Linked DNA regions of Canis lupus familiaris. The protein of the gene in region 2 interacts with the protein of the main gene of each other region in a biochemical or structural test. Links are inferred from orthologs where the notes say so. Each region holds a gene or a part of one and is shown on either strand. Other genes may lie near its edges.

Evidence for each region.
Region 1: the proteins of DLG1 (region 2) and KCNJ4 form a complex in vitro, tested with the Homo sapiens proteins (2 studies listed by BioGRID and IntAct, with this or other methods). The link is inferred for Canis lupus familiaris from reciprocal best matches to the Homo sapiens genes DLG1 and KCNJ4.
Region 3: the proteins of DLG1 (region 2) and KCNA4 interact in a biophysical measurement, tested with the Homo sapiens proteins (2 studies listed by IntAct, with this or other methods). The link is inferred for Canis lupus familiaris from reciprocal best matches to the Homo sapiens genes DLG1 and KCNA4.
Region 4: the proteins of DLG1 (region 2) and IQSEC2 interact in a test that uses a peptide from one of them, tested with the Homo sapiens proteins (2 studies listed by IntAct, with this or other methods). The link is inferred for Canis lupus familiaris from reciprocal best matches to the Homo sapiens genes DLG1 and IQSEC2.
Region 5: the proteins of DLG1 (region 2) and TANC1 interact in a test that uses a peptide from one of them, tested with the Homo sapiens proteins (2 studies listed by IntAct, with this or other methods). The link is inferred for Canis lupus familiaris from reciprocal best matches to the Homo sapiens genes DLG1 and TANC1.
Region 6: the proteins of DLG1 (region 2) and ARHGEF26 interact in a test that uses a peptide from one of them, tested with the Homo sapiens proteins (2 studies listed by BioGRID and IntAct, with this or other methods). The link is inferred for Canis lupus familiaris from reciprocal best matches to the Homo sapiens genes DLG1 and ARHGEF26.
Region 7: the proteins of DLG1 (region 2) and CYSLTR2 interact in a test that uses a peptide from one of them, tested with the Homo sapiens proteins (2 studies listed by IntAct, with this or other methods). The link is inferred for Canis lupus familiaris from reciprocal best matches to the Homo sapiens genes DLG1 and CYSLTR2.

Annotation. Positions count from the first base shown.
Region 1 is NC_049231.1:27,345,820-27,350,112, reverse strand, and holds the end of KCNJ4 (inward rectifier potassium channel 4), read right to left. Parts: intron 3,974-4,293; exon of another isoform or gene 3,431-3,973; intron 3,088-3,430; exon of another isoform or gene 2,804-3,087; intron 2,502-2,803; 5' UTR 2,463-2,501; coding exon 1,116-2,462; 3' UTR 551-1,115; downstream 1-550. UniProt on the Homo sapiens protein: Inward rectifier potassium channels are characterized by a greater tendency to allow potassium to flow into the cell rather than out of it.
Region 2 is NC_049254.1:30,811,053-30,814,729, forward strand, and holds part of DLG1 (disks large homolog 1), read right to left. Parts: intron 3,017-3,677; coding exon 2,847-3,016; intron 1,481-2,846; coding exon 1,344-1,480; intron 1-1,343. UniProt on the Homo sapiens protein: Essential multidomain scaffolding protein required for normal development. Recruits channels, receptors and signaling molecules to discrete plasma membrane domains in polarized cells.
Region 3 is NC_049242.1:51,057,359-51,061,472, reverse strand, and holds the start of KCNA4 (potassium voltage-gated channel subfamily A member 4), read left to right. Parts: upstream 1-1,184; 5' UTR 1,185-2,170; coding exon 2,171-4,114. UniProt on the Homo sapiens protein: Voltage-gated potassium channel that mediates transmembrane potassium transport in excitable membranes. Forms tetrameric potassium-selective channels through which potassium ions pass in accordance with their electrochemical gradient.
Region 4 is NC_049260.1:45,329,405-45,333,081, forward strand, and holds part of IQSEC2 (IQ motif and SEC7 domain-containing protein 2), read right to left. Parts: coding exon 3,601-3,677; intron 3,119-3,600; coding exon 2,996-3,118; intron 2,005-2,995; coding exon 1,838-2,004; intron 1-1,837. UniProt on the Homo sapiens protein: Is a guanine nucleotide exchange factor for the ARF GTP-binding proteins.
Region 5 is NC_049257.1:5,020,615-5,024,867, reverse strand, and holds the start of TANC1 (protein TANC1), read right to left. Parts: upstream 2,846-4,253; 5' UTR 2,762-2,845; intron 1-2,761. UniProt on the Homo sapiens protein: May be a scaffold component in the postsynaptic density.
Region 6 is NC_049244.1:48,836,705-48,841,069, reverse strand, and holds the start of ARHGEF26 (rho guanine nucleotide exchange factor 26), read right to left. Parts: upstream 2,915-4,365; coding exon 2,787-2,914; intron 2,486-2,786; coding exon 2,050-2,485; intron 199-2,049; coding exon 159-198; intron 1-158. UniProt on the Homo sapiens protein: Activates RhoG GTPase by promoting the exchange of GDP by GTP. Required for the formation of membrane ruffles during macropinocytosis. Required for the formation of cup-like structures during trans-endothelial migration of leukocytes.
Region 7 is NC_049243.1:2,926,113-2,930,452, reverse strand, and holds the start of CYSLTR2 (cysteinyl leukotriene receptor 2), read left to right. Parts: upstream 1-1,535; 5' UTR 1,536-1,990; intron 1,991-4,340. UniProt on the Homo sapiens protein: Receptor for cysteinyl leukotrienes. The response is mediated via a G-protein that activates a phosphatidylinositol-calcium second messenger system.

The DNA.
Region 1 (4,293 bases), on a different chromosome or scaffold from region 2:
CTGACATCCACACAGGGCTTTCCTGCCCATCATCTCTCAGGAGGGAGCAGTGGCTCATCCCATTCTACGGATGGTGAAACTGAGGCCAAGAGCAGATGGGCAACTTGCTGGCAGCCATACAGCTGTTAAGTAGCAAAGCCCAGGTCCTCTGAAGCCTGCTGGGGATCTCTCCCATTGGATCCCAGGAAGGAGAATGGCAGGCGGTAAAGTCCCCTCCAAGGGTCAGTGTCTCAGAAAGGGACACATACGTACCACACACAGACACACTCACATCATGTTGGTCTCTCTCTCTCACTCTATCTCTTCTCTTCCGCTTGTCATCTTCAATCAGCCTACCCCTAATGGACCATATACTTTATTAAAAATATATAGTTACAAACTCCATTGTCAATCTGGGCTGGACCCCGGGGATCCGGAGGGACCACAGGGAGGGGATGGTCCTCGTCCTGCCTCTTGGGGCCCCACCTCTGCACCCAAACCCAACACCATCCAGGGGCCAGGATGGCTGGCTTTGGGGACCAGCCAGCTGGGCGGGGGGGGGGGGGGGGGGGGGGGGGAAGGGGCTAGGCTCACTGGGCCGGGAGGGGGAGGGGTTCACAGAGAGGGACCGCACCTCCTCATCCTGCAGGTACAAATGGCAGAAGGTGGATTTGGTGCCTCCATCTCTCCATTTATAGATATTTACAAAAGAAAGTCAAGAGCAACAGGTCACAGTCATGCAAAAGAAACGCACCCCCGCCCTCCCTCCCCCCACACTAACCCCTGCCCACCCCAGAACCCCATGATGCCCACCCCCCAGCAGTCCAGCCGCCTTCCCCAAGGTTCTGAGAGTAAAGGGGGCACGTCCTTGAAGTGTCAGTGGGAAAAGGGTGGTGGGTCTGGGGTCCCCGAGATGCCAGTAGGTAGGCTGACAGGGCAGAGGGGATCCTGGGCCCTTCCCAGGCCTGGGCTCTGGAGTCAATAGGAAGGGGTTCCCCAGTCTTTGAAGCCCCCACCTCCCTCCAGGAGGTCCATGGGGCCAGGGTCAGCTCTGTCCTGAGTGTGGAGGGGGTGTCCTGGCATCCCACCCCCCGGCAGAGGCTCTTGTGGGAAGTGACGAGGGCGGGGCCTGGAGGTCAGATGGCAGACTCCCTGCGGTAGGAGATGTTGTCCAGAGGGAGGGTGGCTTGCATGCGCTCCAGATCCAGGTGGCTGCCAAACTCCAGCATTCGGATGATGCCCGCCTCCTCCTTGGAGCCCGCCTCCAGGCCCAGGCCTGCGGCCACGGCAGCAGCGGCTGCCGCCTCCTCCTCCATCTCCTCTTCCTCCTGGCTCATGAGGGCCAGCTCATTCTCGTAGCAGAAGGCACTGGGCGGGGGCGGCGGGGCAGGCAGCACGGTGATCTTGCTCTCCTGAAGCTCCCGGGCGGAGCAGCAGGGCGTGCCGGCCACCTCGTAGGTCTTGTGGAAGCGCGAGTAGTCCACCTTGTAGTGGCTCTTCTCCTCGAAGACCACGGGCTCGAAGCGGTGGCCCCACAGGATCTCGCTGGCCAGGTAGGAGCTGCGGGCCTGGGTGGTCATGGCGGTGGCCTCCACCATGCCCTCGAGGATGACCACGATCTCAAAGTCCTCCGACTCCAGCTCCTCCTTGCCCATGCCATAGAGCGGGCTGTCCTCGTCGATCTCGTGGACGATGATGATGGGCGACACCAGGAAGATGCGGTCCAGGCCGATGTCGTAGCCCACGTTGAGGTCCCGCTGGTCCAGCGGCAGGTACTCGCCCTCCTGGGTCATGTAGGGCTTGATGAGCTGGGCCCGCACGTGGGCCTCCACGATGTGGCTCTTGCGCAGGTTGCCCACGCGCCACATCAGGCAGAGCTTGCCGTCGCGCACCGAGATGACCGCGTGGTGGCTGAACAGCAGCGTCTGCGCCCGCTTCTTGGGCCGGGCCATCTTGGCCATTATGGTGCCGATCATGAAGGAGTCGATGACGCAGCCCACGATGGACTGGACCACCACGGCGATGACCGCCAGCGGGCACTCCTCCGTCACGCACCGGAACCCGTAGCCGATGGTCGTCTGCGTCTCCACCGAGAACAGGAAGGCGCCCAGGAAGCCGTTCACGTGCATGATGCAGGGCTTGGGGGCCGTCGGGGCCGCCGCGCCACTGCCCGTCGGGGCCCCCGCCGCCGCCGCTGCCGCCGCCGCCGCCGGGCCAGCCTCCAGGTCGCCGTGGAAGAAGGCGATACACCAGAAGAGGAGGCCAAAGAAGAGCCAGGAGACGAGGAAGGCCGCGGAGAAGATCATGAGCATGTAGCGCCAGCGCGTGTCCACGCAGGTGGTGAAGATGTCCGCCATGTAGCGCTGCGACTTGTTGCTCAGGTTGGCGAAGTAGACGTTGCATTGGCCGTTCTTCTTGACGAAGCGGTTGCGGCGTTTCCGCCGGGGCACGTGGGCCTGCCCGTTGCGGCTGTGTCCGTGCATGTCCTGAGGCCGGCGTGGTCACCTGGGAAGACGCAGGGCCTGGGGAGGAGAAGCCCGACAGGTGAGATGCCGGCTCAGAAAGGGAAGGGCCGGGCCTAAGCCGCAGGACCTCCTGGGCCCGGGGACAGAATGTGGCCGGCGGGGTGCTTCCCACCGCGGGACGGAGCGTGGGGGCCCGAGCCGCGCCTCCAAGGGCCAGAAGCCGAGGCCACCGGCTGTCCCCTCTGAGCCTCCATGGCCCCCACCCTGTTTGGGGAGCCTCCCGGTACCCGTCTCGGCTCCACCACCTGCCCCACCTGCCCTGAGCGGAGGGAGCTGTGACCGCTCTGGCCCCTGCTCACCTCCCTGGGTTCAGCCGCTGCCCTCTTGGCTGTCTCTGGGGCTGGCCGTCCTCCCGTGCTGTCGACAGAGCGGCCAACGGCCACCTGCGGCTTTGTGCGTTTACTTAAAATTAAATACAATTTTAACTTCAGTTCTCCCCATTTCAAGCGCTCAGTAGCCACTTGTGGCTAATGGCTCCCATCTCCGACGGAGTTGATACAGAACATTTCCATCATTGTGGAAAGTCCTACGAGACTGTGCTGGGCCCCGTAGCCCCATGTGGGTTCCCGTCCTGTCCCCGGTCCTGTTGGGAACAGAAGTGGGTGAAGACGCCAATGGAAGTGGTTGAGATGGAGGAAGGGGGAGCCCCCACACTTTGGCTCCAATGGAGGCATCGCTAGTCCCACGTCACAGGTGAGGGAGCAGGGCTCAGAGAGGGGAAGTGACCTGCCCAAGGCCACACAGCTAGCTGTTGAGCGAATCCAAACTCAGGTGTGTCTAACCTTCGGTGCCCCCCGCCCCCAGGTGCTGTCAACATCCGTGGGCCCACGTGCGGAGGCGGGGAGGCAGGCACACCCGCTGCCTGGCTGTGACACCTGAGAAGACTCACTTCCCCTCACCTGTAAAATCGGGGGCTCAAAGCCTACCTCGCAGGACCCAGGAGGTAGTAGGTGCTTGGTCAAAGCCAGTCACCCCCCTGCCTTCCTTCGCGCGGCTCCAGAGCAGGAGGGAGCTGGCGAGAGGCAGGGTTTGCCTGTCAGCCTCCTCAGCTGTGTTTCAGTGGGGGCGGCGGGAGCACCAGCTGGGCCCACGGGGGGCAGCCCTCCCCGCACCCCCTCCCCGCCACGGCCCGGGAGGGAGAGGCCCTCGGTGCTGCCCAGGGCCCCAGCCGCTGGCGGGGCTGGGCCGGGGCCTGGGCGCCCGGTAACGTTTTGGCCCAGAATTATATAAGGCTGGAAGTTTCTATTTTCTGTTCTATTCTTCTTCCTGATCTAATTGTGCATCTGTGGCAATGTTTATACACTTCCCCGTTCAGGACAACTCCGTTGCCGCAGCAACCGGTGCGCGCCAACGCTGTAATTTAGAGATCAACAGCCTGGTGCCTGCCTGCGCCTCTTCCCCTCTTCCCGGGAGAGACTCCCTCCCTGGGCCAGGCCTGGGGGGTGAGCCCTGCCCCCCGCCTCCCCCGCCCCCCTCCCGGCTCCTTCCTCCCCCCCTCCGGCTTGTGCTCCCTGGGCCCCGGAGTCCTGCACTGCAGTCCTTCATCCACCGCGTAACGTGGGCAAGTCACTTGGCTGCCGTGAGCCTCGGCTTCTTCATCCGGAAAATAGGACCAGTGAGACCCGTCGGTCTGAAGATCTAACAGACAAACTAGGGGTGTGCAGTGCTGGCCCTTAAGGGGTCCTCAGTTTGGCCGGGAGTCCCAGACCCTGTCTGCCACCACCCCCCTGGGCCCAAGGCCTCACAGCCAGGGCTCCAGGTGGTAGCTCTAAGGAATTGGGGGTCAGGG
Region 2 (3,677 bases):
TAGTTTATGTGCCTTTTCAGATTTTCTTGAGCCTACATGCCTACTAGGCTTTGGCTGTGTGCTTACTGGAGAGTCCTGGCTACCACTTCTCTCACCTTGTCTCCTACCATTACCAGATCTTTTAATCTTTTCTAGGGTAAGGGCTGCACTTGGCATGACTAATGTGTTACACAGAAATGAGAGCTGTAACACGTCAAAAGCCTGTGTTCTGGTCTGTCTAGATCACTGAAGCTCTGGTTCTTTCCATCACTTCTCAGTTCAGAGGAAATGCTATACCATGGAGTATGGGAGCTGGCTTCCCTAGCATTTGCCCAGAGTAGCTGAGTAACAGTGCAGAAATTAGGGACAGTTACCATTCATGGAATAGACTCTATCTAACAAGAGATAGGGAGACAAATATTTTCTTTTCCCTGGATGGCTGGATCTAAAGTTTAATAGTGTCACATCACCTGACTGGAAGGCTGTCCTATATGTCAATTAGTGACATTTTCTTATGAAATTATAGCCAGCTCAGAAACATAATACCTTGTATTGACTTTCCCCTATTCTCTCCCTCACTTTTCATTTTCATTCACTCTAGCTTCTGAGATTACATCTCCCAATGAAACCTTAGCACGGTACCTTTTCTTCAGATGTTTTTCTAGGGAACATAGACTAGGATCATTATTGATGAAGACTGGATAAATAAACTGCAGTATAGATCTGGAGCTATATTATGTAGAGGTGAAATGAATAAATTTTTAGCTCTAGGCAACAATCTGGATAAATCTCAGTAAACCAATTCTGAGTAAAAAATAAAATTTAAAAGACTACATTCAGCACAACAGCCTTTTTTTTTTTTTTTGTTTTTTTTTCACAACAGCCTTTAAGAACATTTTCAGAACAAATTAATATTAAACAAGATATTTAGGCATAGGTATGTGATTAAACAATTTTTAAAAGCAAATGAATAAAAAACAAGTTGTTGATATTCTAGTTTTGATTTTAGCAGTCTTCATTATACTATAATTAAGTAACAAGAAAAAGAAAGTCACACACAAAGGGTGATACTGTGTTTAAACAATTCTGTGCATCCAACTCCCTAGCCCTTCAACAAAAAAGAGTAGGAAAAGGAAGGAAAAAAAAAAAAAAAGAAAGAAAAGAGAGAGAAGCTAGTAGAGGGGGAACAAAGGGGCAAATAATACCAAGAACCATTTTTCAGGTTTTGATTAAAAATTAGTGTTCATTCATTTAAATATTGTTTAAACATTTTTGGCAAGAAAAATTTCAGTTTTTCCAAAAAAAAAAAAAAAAAAGAGGAGACATGAAAATGATTTTTAAAATAACAGCTTTCTTATACTCACTGCTAAAAGTTTATCTCCAATCTGAAGTTTACCATCTTTATGTGCTGCACCTCCTTCAATTATCTTGGTTACATAGATGCTATTATCCCCAGGAATATGTTGATTTCCAACACCTCCAGCAATGCTGAACCCAAGACCTGTTTGGAAAATACTAGTTTTGAAATTTCATCATTTAAAGTATTTTTAAGTCCAGAAATGGTTGAAAACTAGAAGGTGACAGTCTTATCACACTCATGTTTTTTGGTTTTTTTTTTTAAATACAGACGAATCTATTTGTCTACTTTTTTTTTTTAAAGTAGCCTCCACCCCCAGCATGGGGCCCAGAGGGGGGACTTGAACTTAAAACCCTGAGATCGAGACCTGAGCTGAGATCAAGGGTTGGATGCTCAAGTGACTGAGTCACCCAAGCACACCTATTTGCCTATTTTTTAAGTCTTACGTGTTTACTTTGTAGTCATTGAACAATTTTTTATATAGATGTTCCTACAGTTAGAAATAAGTTCTGTCCTCTCTGCCCAGGTTACTTCTTAAGGTCTGTTTGTAAATGCGTTTGTTAGTTCAAAGAGGCATTACAAAATTATGTTTCAATTTTGTTCCCATCATGATTGTGTTTCTAACACTTTTAATACCTTCATAAGAGTAAAACAATTGAGAAAAATAATAAAATTTTTTGGTAGTAGGCAGAACTAATAGGCTTCACAATGTGGATAATTTTGTTCCTTTTCCAATATTCTATGAATTACTTTTATTTTTTTAAAGATTCACTTATTTATTTTAGAAAGAGAGAAAGTACACATGAGTCAGAGGGATGGGGGGTGGGGGAGGAAAGGGAGAGTATGAGAGGGTCTTAAGCAGCCTCTGTGTGGAGCCTAGAACTTTTTTTGAGCCTAGAGCTTTAAGCCTAGAGTTTGACATGCATGATCACATGACCCTGAAGTCAGGGCCTGAGCTGAAACTAAGAGTTGGAGACTTAACAGACTACCACTCAAGCGCCCCTCTGAATTTTTTAAAGAATTTCTGTAATTCATAAATTCCATAGCTTCAATACTAGACAAATTTGTAGCTTTCTATTCTTTTTTTCATTTGTTGGAATACTACTTCTTCCATAAAGTTACAAATTAGAATAAGTAATTATCCTCAATTCCATCAATGTTTTCAAAACTCAGAAATCAAGTATTAACTGTCCCCATTACAGATGAGGCTAATGACATACTCATAATTACTTCTTTCTTTTAACTTAGCCCGTGTATCTGCATTTAATACATTTTGTAGATTGATGATTACAAGTTAATAGCAACAGTATACATAAGTTCCAAGTGCTAAATAGAATTCTACCTAAGACAAAAATCAGCAGAAATTAAAGAGAAATTCTAAAAATCCACACAAGTTCTGTAGATTACTAGTACTGTTAATCTTAGAATGTGTGTCACTAGTAACTTGATAGTTACATTTATCTCAGTAATTTCTTACTTGATAATCTGTCTTGGTTTCACTATTCCATACCTTTAGGGCCTTTAATAAGCTTTATTTCCATTATTTTTTCTGATACTGGTTTCCGTCTTTTTACATACAAGCGTACGATAGACCCTGCTTCTTTCAATGCTTCAACTGCTTTGCTATGTGTCACATCACGAACATCTACTTCATTTACTCGCAATATACAGTCATTGACCCTGAGAAGAAACCCAAAATATTAAAAATAAAAATTAAATATTAAAATATAAAACTTACACATTGACAATTTTTTGTCATTTTCATTTTTAAAGTAGAGAATTATTTACTATAGAAAATATATACAAAAAAAATATATACAAAGAAACTTCAGGTTAAATTCCACCGTATCAAATAGTCATATAAATAATAAATACAAATATTTCCTGAGGGCCAACCAAATAAACAGTGCAGATAACAGATTACCACACAATAATATTAAATAATAATGATAGCTGTAATTTGTATGGTTCTTGTATGCTAATTATGTGTAAGCATTAAGATAATTACAAAAATAGCAAATATTTATTTAGCACTAACCACATGCCAAGCACTTCTTTGTGTTTTATTATTTTTTTTATTTTTTATTTTTTTAGTGTTTTAACCCTTACGACAACCTGGAGAAAGTAAGGCACAAAGAGTTTAGAATTTTCCTAAGGTCACCCAGATAATGACTGATAGAGCTGTGACTCACAGAAAAGAAAACTGAGGTTCAGATTGAGCAATAAGTTTAAGGTCACAGACACAGTGGTGGCAAAGTGGAGATAACTCATTGATTTATCCAAAAATAATTTGACTGCTTTTTCAATATGATACATAAAAAAAATAAAAGTTATATCTTGA
Region 3 (4,114 bases), on a different chromosome or scaffold from region 2:
ATCCTGCTAATGGCTCCAGAAAGCCATTTCTCCTGTGCTCCCCAAGTGCTTCCAGTAATAGAAACTGGTGGATGCCCTGAATTCTGACTGTCGTGATCCTCCCCAGCTCTCGGGGCCACCCTGCGTTCTCGGGAGTCCTGTCGGACCCACTGAATGCAAAAGCATAGGAGACAGAAGACCAGGGCAGTCTTTCCAGGTCCTGCTGAGGACGTGAATTAGCTGGACCTGGAGGGAGCCGACCTAGAAGAGAGGCCAGGAATTCCAGGTGACAGAGGAGCCAGATCGGGGCTGCGAGGAAGATGCGATCAGCAAGTGGCAGATCGGAAACAGAAGTGGGCAGAGAGAGGCAAGGGAGCCGGCCGGGGTGGGTCCGGGAGACGGGAGATGATGGATGAAATTATGAGGGGAATGTCTGATGGGTGGAGGATAAAATCCGCACAAACTGGGATTTTAAACATAAGGAGATAGTCCCCTGAGAAGATGTAGGAGGAAGCATTGAGGTGAACATGGAGGAACCGCGAGGAGGAAAAAAAAAAAAAAAAAAAAAGATGATTATCAGAGAAGTAGAAACTGGGATTAGCTCCTAGGCTGTGGGTGGTAGGGAGTGTTCTGGAGTCTGGGGAACAGAAAAACAACAACAGGGACATGCTTCAGGGCGGCAGGAAGTGCCAACCTAAGACAGGCCGCTGGGGAGTCTCCGAAGGCCCCCGTGTCCTCACTTCTGTCCTCCCCCTAACTGAGACTGTGGTGCATGGACATAGGGGTTTGGGGTGAGTACCAGACAGCAGAGGCCGAGGTCACTGTCGCCCTGTTCAGAGCCGGCAGCATGATGGACGTGCATGATGTCTGTGCTCTGCTGGCAGCGTTCACCGTCTCCGTCGGTCCTCACCAAGAGACGGGGGAGGTTCCATGTGCCCTGCACTTCGTAGGTGAGGAGACTGAGGCTTGTGGAAGCCGTGGAGCCTGGGTGAAAGCAGGCCGGTTCCTCCAGCGGCCCTGATCCTGAATCAAGACAGAGAGGGGTGGAGAGGCACTAAATTCAGAAGTATTTGATGAGTGGAAATTCAGAAAAAAAAAAAAAAAAAAGAAAACCTATGCCTTGAGATCAATGAATGATGGAAGCAGTTGTAAGGTGACCGCGTCGTTGTCGTGGAAGGAAGAGAGTGACCGCGAGAGTTAAGACCTGGCATGAGCGAAAGGGACGGCCACGTGGGTGGAGTGGAGAGAGGAGAAATAATTGAGTTGCCATGAAAATAGCCCGAGCGGGAATCAGAACCAAAGAAGAGGGCAGGAGGGTGGTTGGGTGAGGAGGAGACGTAACCGGCTGCGGTGGTCCCTCGGGGCTTCGGGTGCCTTGCTTGCTTGAGGCCCAGAAGAGCGGGGTCTGGGAAGGAGGCGCCGTCGGCTCTTTACGCGTCGATGCTTTTTACTCTGCTCCCATGCTTGTTCCCTTCCTTTTTCAGGTGGAGTGCTGCTTCTGCGCCGCCGCAGCTGAAGGATGCTCTGCGCTCCCTGGCTTTCCATGGAGACCTCCGAGCCGGGTTGGCCCCCGCTGACACCTCGCCTCGTACCTTCTCTACCTCCCAAGCTGTTCGCCTGTGTCGCGAGCTCGGCCCGGGCCCCGCGCCCCGGAGGCCTGTGCTGAACCCAGGGAGCGGCCGCGGGCTCTGGGCGGCGATGGCCCGACGCGCTTCCAGCCGCTCGCCCGCTCGGGTCAAGCCGTCACGAGAAGGCAAGTGCTAAGACTAAAGGCTTATTTGCATTTTATTTAAATCTGATGGACCGAGCTTTGGACGATTTCCATGGCAGAAAAATCCATTCCGTTTTCCAGGCACAAGTGCTGGCCGTCAGATAGCCGCGGCCTTTGAATCCCGGGCGGCGGCGGTGGCCAGTTGGGGCCGCGCTTCCAGACTGCGCCTGGGCCCCGGGCGCTGGGGGCCCCGGCGGGGACTTGGGCCCGGCGCGCGCTACCCGGACGGGCCGGGCCTGGAGAGCAGCGCTCGTCCCTGGGAACCGAGAGCATGGGGCGTGCTGGTTTAAAAACGGAAAATGCAAAGTTGGACTGAAAATATCCTCAGTCTTCCGAGCAATCTGCTGAACGGTTCCAAACTTACCTTAGTGTGGTGAGGCGGGGAGCTGCCCCACTTTCCGTCGCCCGCCTCCCGCGGCCATGGAGGTCGCGATGGTGAGCGCCGAGAGCTCGGGCTGCAACAGCCACATGCCCTACGGCTACGCGGCGCAGGCCCGGGCCCGGGAGCGGGAGCGGCTGGCCCAGTCGAGGGCCGCGGCGGCCGCGGCGGTGGCGGCGGCCACGGCCGCGGCCGCGGAGGGCGTTGGGGGCCCCGGGGGCGGCGCGCACCAGCAGCACCAGCAGCATCAGCAGCACCAGCAGCAGCAGCTGCAGCAGCAGCAGCCCCGCGGCACCTGCCCCGCACTCGAGCCCCAGGGCGGCCGTGTGGCCCGGAGGCGCCGGCGCTCGCGGCCCAACCGGAGGAGGCCTCAGCCGCGGCCCGGCGGCTTCCCGCACGGCTCGGACCTGCTGCCCAGCGGCTCGGAGGAGAGGATCCTGAGGGAGCTGAGCGACGAGGACGAGGACGACGAGGACGACGAGGACGCCGAGGAGGAGGCCCGGTTGGGCCGCGGCCAGGACGACCGCGCGGCCCACGGCTCCTGCAGCGACCTGCTGCCCCGGGACGACGGCGCCTACGGCCCGGGCCGGCCCAGCGGCTGCTGCGAGCGGGTGGTCATCAACGTGTCGGGCCTGCGCTTCGAGACCCAGATGAAGACCCTGGCCCAGTTTCCCGACACCTTGCTGGGCGACCCCGAGAAGAGGACGCAGTACTTTGACCCGCTGCGAAACGAGTATTTCTTCGACAGGAACCGGCCGAGCTTCGACGCCATCCTGTACTACTACCAGTCGGGCGGCCGCCTCAAGAGGCCGGTCAACGTGCCCTTCGACATCTTCACGGAGGAGGTGAAGTTCTACCAGCTGGGAGAGGAGGCCCTGCTCAAGTTCCGGGAGGACGAGGGCTTTGTGCGGGAGGAGGAGGACCGGGCCCTGCCGGAGAACGAGTTTAAAAAGCAGATCTGGCTCCTCTTCGAGTACCCGGAGAGCTCCAGCCCGGCCAGGGGCATCGCCATCGTGTCCGTCCTGGTCATCTTGATCTCCATCGTCATCTTCTGCCTGGAAACCCTGCCCGAGTTCCGGGACGACAGGGACCTCATCATGGCACTGGGCGCGGGCGGACACGGCGGGTCGCTGAACGACTCCTCGGCGCCCCACCTAGAGAACTCAGGGCACACCATCTTCAACGACCCCTTCTTCATCGTGGAGACCGTCTGTATCGTCTGGTTCTCCTTCGAGTTCGTGGTTCGCTGCTTCGCTTGTCCCAGCCAAGCGCTCTTCTTCAAAAACATCATGAACATCATTGACATTGTCTCCATTTTGCCTTACTTCATCACGCTGGGCACCGATCTGGCCCAGCACCAGGGGGGCGGCAACGGGCAGCAGCAGCAGGCCATGTCCTTTGCCATCCTCAGGATCATCCGTCTGGTCCGCGTGTTCCGGATCTTCAAGCTGTCCAGGCACTCCAAGGGCCTGCAGATCCTGGGCCACACGCTCCGAGCCAGCATGCGGGAGCTGGGCCTTCTGATCTTCTTCCTCTTCATCGGGGTCATCCTCTTCTCCAGCGCCGTGTACTTCGCGGAGGCCGATGAGCCCACCACCCATTTCCAGAGCATCCCAGATGCGTTTTGGTGGGCCGTGGTGACCATGACGACTGTGGGCTACGGGGACATGAAGCCCATCACCGTGGGGGGCAAGATCGTGGGGTCCCTGTGTGCCATCGCAGGTGTCTTAACCATCGCTTTGCCAGTGCCAGTGATTGTCTCTAACTTTAACTATTTCTACCACAGAGAGACTGAGAATGAGGAGCAGACGCAGCTGACACAGAATGCGGTCAGTTGCCCGTACCTCCCCTCTAATTTGCTGAAGAAATTTCGGAGCTCTACTTCTTCCTCCCTGGGGGACAAGTCAGAGTATCTGGAGATGGAAGAAGGAGTTAAGGAATCCCTCTGCGCGAAGGAGGAGAAGTGTCAGGGAAAGGGGGACGAC
Region 4 (3,677 bases), on a different chromosome or scaffold from region 2:
TTGATGTTTATAAAAAAGCCTGAGAAAATTCCTGGAGCAAAGTAAGTGGAAAGAGCAGGATAAAAATTACATTCACAGCTTAACTGTGATCTTAACTGTATAAAAAGTTACATATGCTGAGGGGGAAAAAAGACTAGAAAACAGCAAAATATCAACCATGGCTGCCTCTAGGCAGCAGAATTCAGGACAATTAAACAAATTTTTTCTCATTTGCTCTATTTCCAAAATTTCTGGGCATGAGCAAGTATTCATTTCGCTTGTTTATTTATTTAATAATTGGAGGGGGAAAGATATACACATACATAATACATATATATATATAAATGTATGTACAAATATATGTATATGCACACATATACATAGAGAGGAAGTACCTCCTCTCCAAATACATATACACATATACAATAATACATGCACACACGTATATATACACATATATGTATGCACACACATGTGTATGCATGTAACCATATGTATGCACACATACACATATACATACAGAGGAGGAGGGAGGGAGAAAGAAAGGGGAGAATGAGTGAATGAACAAATGACTAACAGCAGGAGTCTGGAAGACAGCTCCAGATGGCCTCTGATCTAACTCCCTCCCCCCGAGTCTACCATCCTTCTCCACTCCTGTCTGCTGAGTGAAACCCACTCACTCTTCCCCCTAAATCTTCTGCTAGAGAAACTGTATTCTCCTTTGGAAATGCCACATCTCCTCCTTGGACAGGTGCTAAGGGAACATCCTTCATCACATCATCTTTTTATCTCAGCTGCCAGAGAGCTTAAGCCCAGCAACCGTGCAAAGCCTGTCGGTCAGCCAATTTGTCTCATCTGTTTGTTTTTCCTCAAATCTATTGCTCTCTTTCATTTCTGTTTAAATAATACTAACATCTGTGCCGCTTTTAGTAGGCTGCTCTTTAGTGAGATGACAGGCTTGATATCAACACAATAAACCAAGAAAAAAGGTCAAGGTGACACCTTTCACCTCGCATTTGAGGCCCTCATATATTGATTCCAACTGACCTTTCTGACTAGGTCGTCCACCCCATCTTAATTGTTCTCCCAACAACTTTTCCTACCTCTGTGCCTTTTTATTCTTACTGCTAGGTAAGCCTCCTCTGTTGCTATTCTGTCACATTGTCACATTGTCTATGCCTTGAAGGTCAATCTTAAAAATGAAAATTCTACTTCCTCCAGGAAGTGTATTGAAGGTGGGCTCTCCTACCTCTGAGCTCTGACTGCACTTTCGGCCTATCTGACATCATGATTCACTTATTTATTCTCTTGTGTTGGGTATCTGGTACTATAAGTCAGTCCCACAAACCGGGAGCTCTCTCGGGGCAGGGGCTACGGTGTCCTAAGTCCCCATTGCAGGGCCGGGCACACATGAGGCATTCAGTGTTGGTTGGCTGGCCGTCTGGCTGGCTGATCAAGGGAATCAATAAATGTATGGATGGAGAAGGAGCACAGAGCATAATTAAATGAGCCTTTATGAGCATAAATAAAGAGGAGAGGGGAAGAGGGAGTGATGCGTCAATGCCTGGGTGGATTAGAATAAGCTCTGTAAGAGCCAGGACTTTCATCTCTCACATCCACTGTTGTAACCCCAGAACCCACTCAGTCAGTGTTCAGTGCAGGAATGAGTGGATGGACAAGTATTTGAGTGAATTAATAAGGGAATATGGCAGCTTTGGAGGAAATCAGAGAACATCACAGGTTAATATCCAGGGAGCCTATATGATCTCCCTCCTCCTTCCCCAGCCCACTCCCACCCTGCCCACTCTCCCTTCCAAAGGGAAGGACAGGACAAGCCAACAGGGGGACCTGGGGTCACCTCTCAGGTTCTTGATGAAGTCATCTAGTTTCATCTTGCGTTCAGCCTTGACGCTGGGACTGTACATGTCAGTATTGAGAAGAATGATAGCAAAAGCAAGGATGAAGATGGTGTCTGGATTCCGGAACTGGCGCACGAGGGCTGGGTTACACACACAGTATCGTTGGCTGCAGGGCAGGATCAGGGCCAGGGTCAGGCACCAGTAATCTTCACCTACCCACCATTGCCCCTCTGTCCTGAGTCTGGTGCCACCAACCCTCTCCCCCAAGAAATACTCCCAAGCCTTTTGGGTACAACCTCTTTCTTCAGTTTCCCCAACACTAGTGTGTAAAAATCACAACCACTACCTCTTCGGAGCTCTGCTAGGGGACTTAGGTACCTTGTGTCATGTAATCCTATCAGAATTCTACAAAGTAGCTATTAGCAGCCCCATGTGACAGAGGAAGTAATGAGGCCCAAAGTGAAGAGGTATCTTTCTCAGGGTAATAGAGCTGGTAAATGGTGAAGACAAGATGAAAATCCAGATCTTTCTAACAAGTCAAATCCTTCTCCCATTATGGGCAACAAGTTCTTAGGAATTCTTCTGTTTCTCTGCTAAATACCCCAAAGTGATGGGGCCAGGATTTCTATCCAGGTCTGCCTAATCCCCAAAGCATTAACTCTACTAAGTTAAGGGCATCTGGTCATGAAAGCAAACACCCTTGAGTTCAAGTCCTGGCTCTGCCTCTTACTCACTTTATGACCCTGAGCAAGTTACTTAACCTCTCTAAATTTCTGATTTCTTATCTGCAGCATGGGAATCACAATAAAAGCACCTACCTCACAGGGTTGTTGTGAGCATCCAGAGAAATAATTGTGTAAAGTGCCCAGCTTAGCACCTGATACCTGGTAAGTGCTCAACAAATATTAGCTGTGGCTGCTGTTGTCACCTATTGGATGCCCACGTCCCAGATGCTGAACCAAACACTTTAGGCACGCTACCTCTGATCCTCACAACTGCACAACTGCCTGGCAAGGTAGGATTTATCATTTCCATTTTCTGGTGAGGAAAGTAGGAGGCCCAGAGAGGTAACTTGGAGATGCATACTGTACTGACCCCTCTCCCCATCCCCATCCCACCCCCAATCTTGCTTGGGGAGAGTGGGGAAACAGGCACACCTGAAGGCTTCAATGAGTCGCTCCACTTTCTGGGCCTCGCCTTGAACCCGGATGTGGGACTGGAACTTTCGGAGTGCATCATCCAAATCCATGGAGGAGAAGTCCATCTCATCCACCACACAGCTGAGAAACACAGAAGTGGGTATGGCACTCTCAAGTCCTCTGCAGAAAACCTCTGACCTACCCTGACCTGCCTAAATGGACGGACACCCCCACTGACAAGACTTCCAAAATCTGGACCCATGGTCCCTAGCAGGTCCTTATGAGGAAGGAATGTTCGAAATGGAATCCACCCCCAAAAAGTCAGGGCCAGACTACATGGTTACTCGGGGTCCTTTCCACTGACCCACTCATTTCAGAGACAGGAAAATGGGGGCCCAAAGCAGGGCAGGGGATAAGCCGGGCCACCCAGAAAGACTTTTGGGCATAGAGCCAAGAGAGATGAGAGCTTTTGTGAAGTACAGGGGTACGGGAACAGGAAAGTCTCTTCATCCTGTTTTGTCAAGCTCATCTGAGCACAACAGACCAACTGCCCACTTCCTCCCTCCTGCCCTCCTTTTCCAGGAAGCCCCAGCCCAGTCTCTGCCCCTTCCTGGGGTCCTCACTCCAACACATCTCTGTTGAACTGCTTCTGCCGGTTCCCTAGGAATTCCCCTATCATCTGCCGGCTCAGGCCTTTCCG
Region 5 (4,253 bases), on a different chromosome or scaffold from region 2:
ATTAGCATTAGTCTGTTTGTCAAGTCTTAGCCAATCCTCAGGTGACTCCATAAATAAAGGGAGAGGGGATAAGGAGAATGAGCAGATCCAGGTACAAGTCCAACTCCACCACTTATAGATGAAACCCAGCAAACTGATCTAAATGGCTCAGCCTCAGTTTACTAACCTGAGAATTAAGGGTTAAAATACATAGGTAAAGCCCTTTGTAAACCCCAAAGCACTGTGCTAATAGTAGGCATTCTGCAACCTGTGCTTAAGCACATTTCTCCAAGTCTTAGAGAAGTTTAGTGTTGAAAGATAATCCCATTTTAGAGATGATGATGATGAAAAAAACAGAAAGGTGTTAGAGCCTTGTATACAAAACACTTTGTAAACTGGTTGGGGGGAGGTTCTAATTTTCCACCACTGAAATACACATTTAAAAGACAGTCAGGGATCCCTGGGTGGCTCAGCAGTTTAGAGCCTGCCTTCGGCCCAGGGCCTGATCCTGGAGTCCCAGGATCGAGTCCCACATCAGGCTCCCTGCATAGAGCCTGCTTCTCCCTCTGCCTGTGTCTCTGCCTCTCTCTCTCTCTGTGTCTCTCATGAATAAGGAAATAAAATATTTAAAAAATAAAATAAAATAAAAGACAAAGTTATCCTAGAGACTAAAATCCCTCTCCACCAACACACACACACACATCCTCTGCTTCATTTTGAATTTGTAAATTTTACTCCTGTAACTAAACTAAACTTTTCATCAGAAAAATTAAAATAAAGCCACTTCTCTGACCGTGAGGTTCACAGCCTACCCTCAATCCAACCTAGGCAAAACCTTCAGGATCCGGTTGGAAATGTCTAAAGGAAACATTGACATAACATTAACCTCCAGCTGTGCTGGCAGGCGTCATTATAACGTGGATTATAGTTATATCAGCCCAGGGATACTGGTTTGATAAAGAATTAATCAGCAACTCTGAGGGGGAATGTTGCCTAAAAACGGACAATTTAATCAAGACAATTTCATTGTCTTCAAAATTGTGCCCTCAATCATCCAGCATCAAAAACCCAGTATGGCACCAAATAAATGGTGTGTGGTGAAAAAGACAAAATGTTCTTTTTTCTACAGGCTCTTATGGGAAGCAGAAAAGGGCTGACTATGAATCAGTTATGCTTTAGTTCCACGATGGACATAAATTATGATAATTTGGACATTCTGGTGGTTAAACCAAGAAAGCAGAAAAACACTGCTTCCAAGTCCCAGCAAAAGTTAAAAGTTTGTGGCATCACAGCTAGAGAGACAGGGTCATGAAAAAGTAGCCTTACATTTATTTCTGGACTTTCCTGCCTCCACTAAAATGGATGACACGATTTCCCATCCCTTATTGTCAGATCACAACAGTCCGGAAGCCTGGACCAAGTTCACTTGGCAGGTAAGAGGAGCAGCGCCAGGAGGAAGTCCTGAAGGATGTCAGATACCGCATTTCCTTTACTCCTGCACACTTTTCATCTCAATTCCACCAGGATCCGTGCACCGGGAGTCCTGACACCCGCCCTGCGCCGTGGCTGACAAACCGCAGAAACCGGCATCCTCTCGGGAAGGTCCCCCGTGAACCTCTAAGTACATTAGAGGAGCGAGCGGAACACCCAGGCGGGCTCCGCATCCACCGTCTCTCCGTCGCTCATACACTCCCCGGTTTCAGCATCCAAGAAGCAGCTGTTAAAATCCAGCACTCTTCGCGGTAGCAGATCTGAACCGCCTCGGAGGGCCGGAGAGCTCCCCCCCGCCCCCAGGAGTGCCAGCCTGGCGGGAATAACCGTGACGGGGGGGGGGGGGGGGGGGCTGGAGAGATGCAGACTCCCCTCATTTCCACTACAGAGGAATGCCAACTCTCAAAAAAGAAAAGAAAAAAAATCCCACCAACTCTGAGCCCAGCTCCCGGGTTGCTCCTGCGCTCTCAGCCCCTCCGCCTCCTCACTCGAGCGCACTCGCAGCCCCAGGCCCGAGGTCGAGGTCGAGGTCGAGGCCCGCGGCTGGGTCCGACCCGCCCCGACCTGGGGACCCGCCGACGGCGCTGCTCTGGGGTCAAGTTCAGGAGGAGGGCGGCGCCCTCGCTCCCCGGCTGAGCCCCGCGGGACCGCGCTTCCGACGCGCCCCGAGGCCCCGCGGCGCCCACCCGGGCCGCCCCCGCCGCCGCCCCCGCCGCGCGCCCTCCCGCCGCCGCGCCGAGCCGAGGAAGTTCGCGGCGGCTGCGACCCGGAGCCACACAATGCCTGGGGCTTCCTCCGCGGCCGGGCGTCCGGAAGGCGGCCGCGCCCGGCGGGCCCCAGCCGCGCGCCCCGCGCCCCCGCCCCAAGCCTCCCCGGACGCGCGAGCGGCCCCCGAGCGCCCCGAGGGCCCCTGCGCCCTGTGCGGGGACCCGGGAGCCGCGGCCCCCCGGCGAGCCTCGCCCCTCCCGCGCCCCTCCCCGACATCGCGGAGCCCCGGAAGCCCCGGCGCCCCCACCCCGCGGGCCACGCGCCCCCGCCCGCCTCCCGGGGCCCCTCCACCCGCGGGGCCGAGCCCGGGCGCCCGACGTGCCCAAGCCCGTCCCCGACGGCTCCCGGGAGCGCCGGCGCGGAGGAGGGCGGCCGGGCGGGCTCCAGAAACTTTCGCACTTGCCTCGCCGCCGGCCGCGTCGCCCCCTCCTCCCGCGCGGACCCCTCGCCCCGGGGCGCGGCTGCAGCGGGCCCCGCCCGGACCCAGCGAAGCCGGCGGCGGCGCCAGGGCGGCGGGAGTTACCTGCCGGGAAAGTTTCCAGCCCCGCGGCGCGGCTCCCGCCAGCGCCCGGCCTCGGTGCGCCGCCGCCTCTCGGCTCCCGGCGCCCCGCCCCGCCCGCCCGCCCCCGGGCCCGCCCGCCCCCGGGCCCGCCCCCGGGCCTCATTGGCAGCGCCAGGCCCCGCCCCGCGCGTGTTCCCGAGGCACCTTCCCCGCGCGCCCGCCCCGCCCCCGGGGCCCGACCTGCCGAGCGGTCCGGCGGCCCCGCGGCCCCGCGGCCTCGCAGCCCCGCAGCCCCGCAGCCCCCCGCGCTCCGCAGACGGCCGGGGAGGGCGGGCGGGAGCGAGCCGCGGAGCGCAGTCTGTGCGGCCCCCCGGCTTCCCTCCGCCCGCCCCACGCGCCCGCGCGGCCGCCCACTCTCGGGGGCTCGGGCGAGCTCAGGGAGCCGCGCGGCGCAGGAGGCATCTCCCCGCGCCTCTCCGGTGCCCGGGCGGGGCGGGGCGGGGCGGGGGGGGCGCGCCCCCTGGCGCTGGGGCTGCCCGGCCGTCCGGCTGCTCCGCGGGGCCCGCCGCGCGCTCCTGTCGGCGGGAGGAGGGAGCCCGGGAGGGGGAGAAACAAAGATGTTATTATTGCTTCGGTCGGGAGCAGTAAACTAAATGCCCAAGTTCCCAAAATGTCTTATTTCCCAGCAGAGCAAAAGCCAGGACGGGGCTCACCGGCACCCCGCAGGCTCCCAGGCGGTGCATTCAAGCCCGGGGCGGGGGGGGGGGGGGGTCGGCCCCCTCCACACCGGAGGCTGCGGGACCAGCCTCGGTCACCCAGAGAGCAGGCAGGACTGACTGCTGCTGCCGTGTGTGGCCTTCGGAAACTGTACGGGTCACCCCGGTGGTGTGTCTGGAGCTGGGAATACAGAAGTTGCTATAAATGGATTTATTGGCAACCCCTAACCTTGCTATAGCAAGCCCGCCTTTAACTGTGTTTTAAACAAGTTCCCCATAAAAATTTCAACCTCATGCAGAGCTTCCCAATATAAAGATACCCCCGGAGGGGAGTGTCTCTAGTTAGAGCTCTTTACGAAAAGGGACAGAACGCAAAATGCCACACATCCTTTCTACTAAAGGAAAGACAACTGAAATTCGCTGGATTTTCACCCATAGTTTCAAAGGCCTGATTATTATTGTGCTGATATTTGAGCAGTAAACATAGCAGCCGCCTTGAAGTCTTCCTCAAACTAGAATAGGAATATTCATAAAATATAAACTTATTAAACTGAAAAGTATTGACCTATTTCTTCACTCTGAAACGTCTCATTGCTGAAAAATATGGTGGTATGTTTTAATTTTTCTTGAAATGAAATGCATAAGTTACCAATCTTTCAACAACAGATGAAAAGGCAGACAGCAACCTTAAAAATAAAAGAATGACACAAACAAAAAAAATTCCACAATAGTCTAATCTGAAATATTAAGATACAAATAATCCCAGGGAAACACTGGTACAATTCCCTGCCTCAGAC
Region 6 (4,365 bases), on a different chromosome or scaffold from region 2:
AAAATTTAGCTTAGTGCAGAGCTTTGTACTGTATAATTTGGGAAGAAGTTGGACATTTTTCTCATCTTAAGTGTTTTTGTTACTGCAGTTGGATTTCAACTTATAATTGATATTCCACATTGAAGCAGCAATAAAAGTCTGGAAAATCAAATGCTTACCTTCCCCATCAAATGTTCCTTGTCCTTTCAGCATTTTTTTCTAAGAAACAAGCAAAAAAAAAAAAAAAAAAGAAAAAGAAAAAGCAAAGCAAACTATGTATGAATGAGCCAAATAAAAAAAAATACAGCTATTTTAAGAAAAAGTACTTGTTACATTCATTGGATTTCCAAAAGCATACAGCAGATGATCCCTTGAGTAGTTCACTCATCTGACTACAACCCACTAAAATGGTGAAATAAAATGTACAACCCACTAAACGGTGAAATAAAACGTACAATGTCCCCCACACCCCAGCAAAACAGCTTGAGAATCCTCAAATGACCAGCACTTCAGCTCATTTCACTACTCAGGGTTCACCAATCACTGTTAAATTGAACTCTGCTATACTTGCAGAGGTGAGGGGGTTGGGAGGGGACCCCTAAAATGTTATGTCATTTCTTTAAGGCCATGAGAGCAAAAATAAAATAGCCTGACTTGCGTATTACATATTGACGCTTACACAAACTGTTTCCAGTTCTCTGATTAATCAAGAAAAGTGGTGGCTGCCAAAATGAATTTCTGCTGAGATCTGTCTAAACTGTTCCCAGAGAAAGCGGCACATGCACACTCCAAAATATCCTTCTTTAGTTTTCCCCGTCCCTTCGTCATATTTGGCAGTATTTTAATACGCGCAACTCCCAGGCCTTTATCAGGGAGTAATTAATACACACGGCTCAGTTGAACCTGAAGTTCTGAGCTACCAACTTGTTAAATGCATCCAAGAATAAACGGGCACAGCATGGGCATAAAACACAACCACAGACGGTGGCGAAAGACACCAGCAACAACAGAGATGACAAACTCTCTGTATCTTCTGTAATTCTGGCAAATAACTTTAAAAATCACATTTTGGGGATCCCTGGGTGGCTCAGAGGTTTGGTGCCTGCCTTTGGCCCAGGGTGCGATCCTGGAGCCCCGAGATCGAGTGCCGTGTCGGGCTCCTTGCATGGAGCCTGCCTCTCCCTCTGCCTGTGTCTCTGCCTCTCTCTGTGTCTATCATAAATAAATAAAGTCTTAAAAAAATAATAAAAAAATAAAAATCGCATTTTGCCTGAACGCTATGTAGTATGTTATCAGCACTGACCAAACCATTCTGTAATTGATTCACGTAGATAAGCCGCTTTCAATAAAGTAATCAATACGCTCAAAAGAAATCAGGAGTCAGTCGCCGGTGCCCCTGACAGGTGTCCCTAAGTGACACCTCTGGATGAGCACCAGGTTGAGCACAGGGCCCAGGGCACCGGGGCTGCTCTCCACCCTCTGTTCAGCCCCCTGTATTCAGAGCGTTCAGCACTCAGCCCATACCTGACTCGCTGTATTTCTTTCTTCACATTAGTCCCCCCACGTGTTGCCCTAAAAAGTTACAACAGCACTAAGCGTTTCCCTTCTTCCCACGAAGGTGCATTATTACCCTGGCTGTGACAGCCAGCACTGGGAGGGCCAAGAGGTCGGTGTGCACGGGTCTGACCCACAAAGAGAATTAAAAGAGAAGGATAAGGGATCCCTGGGCGGCTCAGCGGTTTAGCACCTGCCTTCAGCCTAGGGCATGACCTCGGGGTCCTGGGATCGAGTCCCACATTGGGCTCCCTGCATGGAGCCTGCTTCCCCCTCTGCCTGTGTCTCTGCCTCTCTCTCTCTCTCTCTCTGTGTCTCTCATGAATAAATAAATAAATAAAACCTAAAAAAGAAAAAAAAAAAAAAGAGAGAAGGATAGCTTCAGGTTTCCTGCGTGGCCCTGGCCCCCACCGCCAACCCCGTCCAAGACCCTGGCTTCCAGGGGCAGCAGCAGGAGGAGGGTGTGTGTGTAGGGGAGGGGGGAGGGGGGAGGGAGACACACCTGCCTACTCTCACCTTTATCCTTCCCAGGCTGGAAAACCTCTCCTTGTCTTCCATCACCGCTCTGAGCACGGGCTGGGACATCCTGTTCTTCTTCTTGGACGTGGTGGGGCTGTCCAAGTCCAGGCCGCTGACCACGGCGCGGCGGTAGGACGTGGAGCGCAGGCCCCTGCGCAGGGAGCCCGGGCTGCCGGCGTCGTGCTCGGGCTCGGCCTCGTCCTGCGCGTCCTGCGCCCGCAGCCCCTCCACCATGCTGCGCACCTTGAGGAGTCTCCTGTGGGGCTCCCCGTTCTGCAGGGGGGCCTTGCTGGCTCGGACCTCGGAGGCCAGGCTCCTGGGAATGAGCTGCTGCTTGCCCACCTTGAGCGCGGCGGGGCTGTTGGTGCTCAGCACCACGCAGGGGCCCCCCGGGGGCGCGCCGTCCTGGGCCGGCCGCCGCGGCGGGGGCGCCCTGCGCTCGGGGGACCGGCTCTGGGGCGCGGCGGGGGCCCCCGGGGGGCGCGGGGCGGGCCCCTGGGCCGGGGGCGGGGGCGGGGGGCTGCAGGGCGAGCTGGCGGTGCGCGGGGGGCGCGCGGGCCCTGGCGGCCTCGGGGAGCCGGCTCCGAGGTTCCGGCGCAGCGTCCTCCCGTCGGGCACCGGCCCCTTTCGCTGCACTGGGGCGCTTCCCTCCCTTGCTGTCCCTCGTGCTCCCGGAGGCCTCTTTTTTTTTCTTTTGTGGTTCTCCTCCCCTTTCCTCCTCTTTTCCTTCTTGCGTCGCGGGCGCCGGGCTCTGGCAGGCTGCGGCCGCGCTTGCTCCGGGCCGCGGCGGCGGCCGAGGGGTGGAGCGCCTCCGCACAGCGGGGTCAGGCTGCCGGGAAGTCCACGCGGCTCTCGCGTCCATAGCGGGGTCGCCGGGGCGCGGTCGGTCGGGCTCGCCTGGGCGGGAAAGAGAGCGTGGAGCCCGCGCGCCCCCCGGCGGGGGCAGGGCAGGGCGGGCAGGGCAGGGGCAGGGCAGGGCAGGCAGCCCCCCCCCCACCCCCCAGGAGCCGCCACCCGCCGCGGGCTGCCAGCCGATGCTCCGGGCGCCCGCGCCCCTCCAGCCGCCCCGGGCCCCCGGGGTCCCCCGCGCCCCGACCGGCCGCTGTACCTCCGCGGCTCCGCGGCGCCCAGGGCCCACGAGCATCCCCGCCCTCGGGGCCGGGGTCGCGCCCAGTCGCCGCAGCCGCAGCCGCAGCCCCGCCGAGCTCGCCGGCCGCCCGCTGCCCCGCGGCCCCGCCCCGCCCCCCGCCCCCGCCCCCGCCCCGCCGCGCGGCCCCGCCCCCGCCCCGCCCCCGCCCCGGCCGCCCGCGGGCTGGGTGCCGGCTCGGGGCTCCGCGCGGGGAGCCGGGGCGCAGCGTGGGAACCAGCGTGGGAGCGCGGCCGCTTGCAACTTAGAGAGCCCCGGGGCGGGCCTGCGGGTGACAGCCGGGCCTCGCCGCGCTCCCGGGGCCTGCGAACTCGCGTGTGCGGGCCCCGCTGCCCCCGCGGGCCACGGCCCGGCCGTAGCGGAGCTCCCGAGGGTGGGGGGGGCGCTGCGTGCGAGGAAACGGAGGCCAGCGGGCGTTTGCGTTCAGGGATTTGGGATATCTTAGGCTTTGCCGGGGTGGGGGGGGGGTGTTTGTGTGTGTGTGTGTGTGTGTGTGTGTGTGTGTGTTTAGAGAAGGGAAAGGGCAGAGAGACTGAGAATCTTACACTACACCCCCCGCTATGGGGCTGGATCCCAGGACTCAGCTCCATCCCGACCTCCGGAGGAAAAGAGGAACCATCCAGGTGCCCAGAATAGTTTATGCTTTTTTTGTTGTTGTTGTTGAAGATTTTTATTTATTCATGAGAGAGAGAAAGAGAGAGGCAGACACCCAGGCAGAGGGAGAAGCAGGCTCCATGCAGAAAGCCCGATGTGGGACTCGATCCTAGGTCTCCAGGATCACACCCTGGGCCGAAGGCAGGTGCTAAAGCGCTGGGCCACCCGGGCTGCCCATATTTTATGCTTTGAATCCTGAATTTTACCAATCAAAGATAAATGTAACTAAAATGTATATGTACATGTGCTTCTAAGCAGACATCGAATAAAAGTTCAAAGTCCTCCGTAACTTACAAGGCCTTGCACAACCTGCCTACCTCTGCAGCAGTCTTTTCTCCCAATACTTTATCCTTCATTTTTTTTCTTAGGCCACAGCCGCCTTTAAGTTTGACCACCCTAGAACCTGCCCTTGTGTTTCTCCTTGACCTTCTGACAGGTTACCCCATCAAAGACGACTTCCCTGAGCCCTCCAGAATCAGCCCACCGCCCTGCTTATTTTCCCAGCCACCTGT
Region 7 (4,340 bases), on a different chromosome or scaffold from region 2:
AGATTCCTGGTTGATAGAGAAGGGAAGAGGGAGTGTGTGTTCCCTACCACCTTGGGATCAGTTCAAACATGCCAGACTTGCCCAAGCTTTAAGCATTGTCTCCCAAGCCACAGGGGCAGGGAACGGAGGATTCAAGGAGGAAAGCCATCTTAGGTGAGTTTATCATTCAAAACCATCAAATGAGGGCTCCCATCATTCAACCTTGGGTGATCGTCATTGTGTGAATTGAATTCCATTCAGAAAAATTTATAGCAGAGCTCACCAACGGCCCATGAGTCAGCTCCGATTATAGGAGATTTTTCAATCTGGTCTCAGACTTCAATGTCATCCCCATTTGTTCTGCTGAACACCTAGTACATGCAAAGCTCCATATGAGTATTGTGGGGAGGTGGGAGTAAAGATGAATGTAGAAAGGCACAATCTGTACTGTGTTGGAGTTTATAATTCAACAGGAGTTTGCCAGAACTGAATGTCGAAGGACCCATGCACTGTTTAAAAAATTATGGAGTTTTATTAAGCAATGGTTCCTGTGTTTGGTGTGTATTGTAATGAAAGGATACAGATGAAAATCAACAACAGAAAAAAGGCGTTTGGGGTAAAGTCTAGGAGGGACCTAGCACAAGCTTCCGGTTGTCCTATCCCAGTGGGGTGTGCTTACTTCTTCAGGCAGCGATGTGTGGCAATACACACAAAGTATTACCAACAAGGAAAGCTCATTGAGCCTTGGAGTCCAGAGATTTTATTGGGGTTCGATTACATATGCATGGATGACTGAGCATGTTGTTGACCTAACCCAGGCCCTCCAGAGATCAAGGGAATACCATATGGCCCAAGGCCCTCAATAAGTCACATTGTTAGCATAACTGTCTGGTATAGCCCAAGAAACCTAGGTAAACAAAGATAATTTTATTAAGTAGGATATTCCAATGACCTAGAGGTTATCTCCTAGAACTTGAATAAGGGCCAAATATTTTGGGGAAATATACATGTTTAGACAACCCAGATGTGCTGAAATAATCCTTTGCTACACAGAACCCAAATGCATTCTTATTGTTAAAAAATTCAAACATTACAGACAGGTCTAAATCACCCTCTTCTTGGAGGAGCATCTTTACAAATGTAATGTTTGCCTACGTGCTGTTGCTAGAAGCTCTGTTGTAGTGCGCACTGGGACTCTGTCTCAGAACATCTCCAACATCTAGTAAGAAGACAGACGGTGCCAAAGATGCTTAGCATTGGACTAATCTTCCACATATTTCCCAAGAAACTCTCATAAAGATTCAGAGACTACATTCCATCTGACTCCAGATACATTGTGGGAAAGTTAAAATAAAACTTTTCTCTTAGGAAAAGAAGATGACTGAAGAGACACTTGTTCTCAAGCCAGTTACAAGTCTAGAGTGGCTTATGTGAATTCCTTTGGGATCACTAGGGATGGCAATATGGAATTGGAATGCTGCCATCAGAATTGAGCTTGAGTTCCGGCCTTTCCACTTCTCAGTGACTGTAGCAGGTTGACTGGTGTCATCCTCCAAAAGATAGGTCCACGTCCTAAACCCTGGTACCTGCCAATGTGACTTTATGTGGAAATAGGGTTTCTGCAGATGTAATTAAGTTAAAGATCTAGAGATGACATCAGCCCAGACTTAAGGTGGGACACAAACCCAATGACTGGCATCCTAATAAGAGAAAGGAGAGGGAGATTTAACACACAAAAAGCCATGCACAGGAGGAGGCTGTGTGGAGATGGAGGCAGAGATTGGAGCATTTCAGCTTCAAGCCAACAATGTCAGGATGGATGCTGCCACCAGGAGCTAGGAAGGAGCAAGGAAGGAATTTGTTTGCAAAGACCTTATATCCAAATAAGGTCACATTTACAGATACCGATGTTAGGACTTTAATTTCTCTTTTCTGGGGACACAGTTCAACTCCCAAAAGAATCAAGGGTGGAAGCAAGAAGTCCAGCTAAGGAGCAATGGCAGCAACACGGGTAAGAGATATTTTTAGCTTGGATCTAAGTTGTATTAGAAGACTAGTGAGAGGTGGTCTGTCTCGGGATGTATTTTGAAAGCAGAGTGAACATTATTTCTGATCTATTGGAAATCAAAAGGCGAGGCATCAAGGATGTCTCAAGCTTTTTCATATGAGCACTTGGAAGATTACAGATGTCATTAATTGAAGTGGCAAAGGCTGCGGGAAGAGCAGACTTCTGTATGAAGATCAGGTGTTTGATTTTGAGCACGTATAATTTAAGACGTCTTTCAGACATCCAGTAAAAATATTGAGTGGGAAATTGAATAATAAAATCCACGGTAGTTCAGGGAGAGGCCTATGCAGGAGATATAATTGGGAATCACGGGCATCTGGGTGGTGAACTCCTTATCTTGGCCATTCTGTCGACATTGTACTTGGAAAATATTTACATGAAAGCTTTAGCTGGAAACCTGGAGGTTATCCTGAGCTGAAAAAGTCTGTGAAAGAGTAAAGCATTTGCCAGGCTTCTTGGCAAAATCCTCAGTCACTTATCTTTTGTAGGAAAGGGATATGACAAAGAAACTTGGTCACTTACGAAAATAGGTAACACTGAGCTCCAACAACATGCCAGATTTATTTTATAAGTTCTTTCATTCATGACTTAAAATAACCCTTTGAGATTGCTTGGTACCGTTCACAGTTTCTATTACAATGGGGAAAACCTAATTTTAAGGTGGATAGATAGCTCCGAGGTATCCAGCTTCCAAGGGGCACGGTAGAGATTCATACCCACGTTTGCCCGAGAGTGGATTTGGAGATGTTGAGCACCGTGTTAGTTAACCTCACAAGCGTCTGTGCCTTTTGTAGAGCCGTCCAAGGAAAGCACTTCTCTGAAATACATTTCTCAAATTACCTCCAATTTCCTATTCTTAACTTTTGATTACCCCTAATCCCTCATTTCTACTTTTTTTTTTTAATAAGTAAGCTCTATGCCCAACATGAGGCTTGAACTCATGACCCTGATACCGAGAGTTGTATGCTCTACTGACTGAGCCCGTCAGGAGCCCTTCAACCCCTCATTTCTGACAGTGTGTCAGAATTTCCCATGGGTGAGGTGAAATAACTTTGTGCCCAGAAAGGAGTCCTGACAGTTACTAAGCTGTCACACCAAGGCTCATCCCCTTCCAGCTGGAGACGATGATGGCTGCCCAGACCCAGATAACCAGAAAGGGGTGGCAGTCTCCAGCCTGCCCACACTGCCTGCCTGTCCTCTAGGTGTTTCTACAACCTCCTAGCCAATGTGTGAACTGCAGGCCAAGCCAGAGTCTCTTGGCCTAGCGCATGTCTCCGTGTTCTCCGGAGCCAATAAAATGCAGCATGAGAGTTCATCAGGCACCTTCTGGTCTACCCACCCCTGACGCCCTGGTTGTGGGGCAGGCTGGACCTTGTCTTTGCCCTCCATCAACTCCAGGACCTCTGGTGGAGAGGCTAGATAGTGGCCAGTTCCTCCATTCCCTCCATTCCTTCCTACTCCCACTCTGTGCCCCTATACTTTTTAAGGTGATAATAATTATAATTATTATGATAACAACAGCCAAAATTTATTAAGTATTTATGATGTGCCAGACACTGTGCTCAGGGTTTCACACAAGACAATGCTTCGAAGCCTCACGACAATTCAGTGGGGGTATATACAACCTTTTTGTGATAAGGCCATTGAAACACAGAAAAAGTAATTTTCCCATGGTCGTAATGCTAATGGATGGGATTGCTGGCCTTCGAACCTAGGCCCTCTCCTTCCTTCCATCCTCTGTCCTATGTGGTGTCTTCCTTGGAAATAATAAGTATAATGGTAACTAGAATTGTAACCAGAAAATATATCAAGACTTGTGTCAACCACCCCACCAAATTTAGAAAAGGAGGCCCAAGGCAAATGAAATAATATTCTGACTATTGCTATATTTAACTTCTCTTTTCCTTCCTTCTTTTCTTCTTTCCCCCAAGAATAGACTTGGAATAATATGGTGGCTTCCTGAAAGTGGGGAAAGTGAAAGTGGGGTCACAGGGATCATGTCTCACAGTGGACAGAAGGTCAGCTTTGGCATCAGCTCACTGACCAAATGCTGAACAGTAAGAGACTTGACAGTAACAGACCCTGAGGAACACATCTTCAGGGGCCTCTTGATGTTGATTTTATGACTTCATTCCCTTGAAATTTCCTAGGAAAGTTGGTTGTCCTTCTGTTAACATAGTAACTGGAAGAGTCTGCTGGTTGGTTAACCGCAAGGACAGGGCTGATGAAAGGGAAGGGTGTGAGGTACATCTGCACAGATTATGACTCAAGACCAGTGTTTTATCTTTTTTTA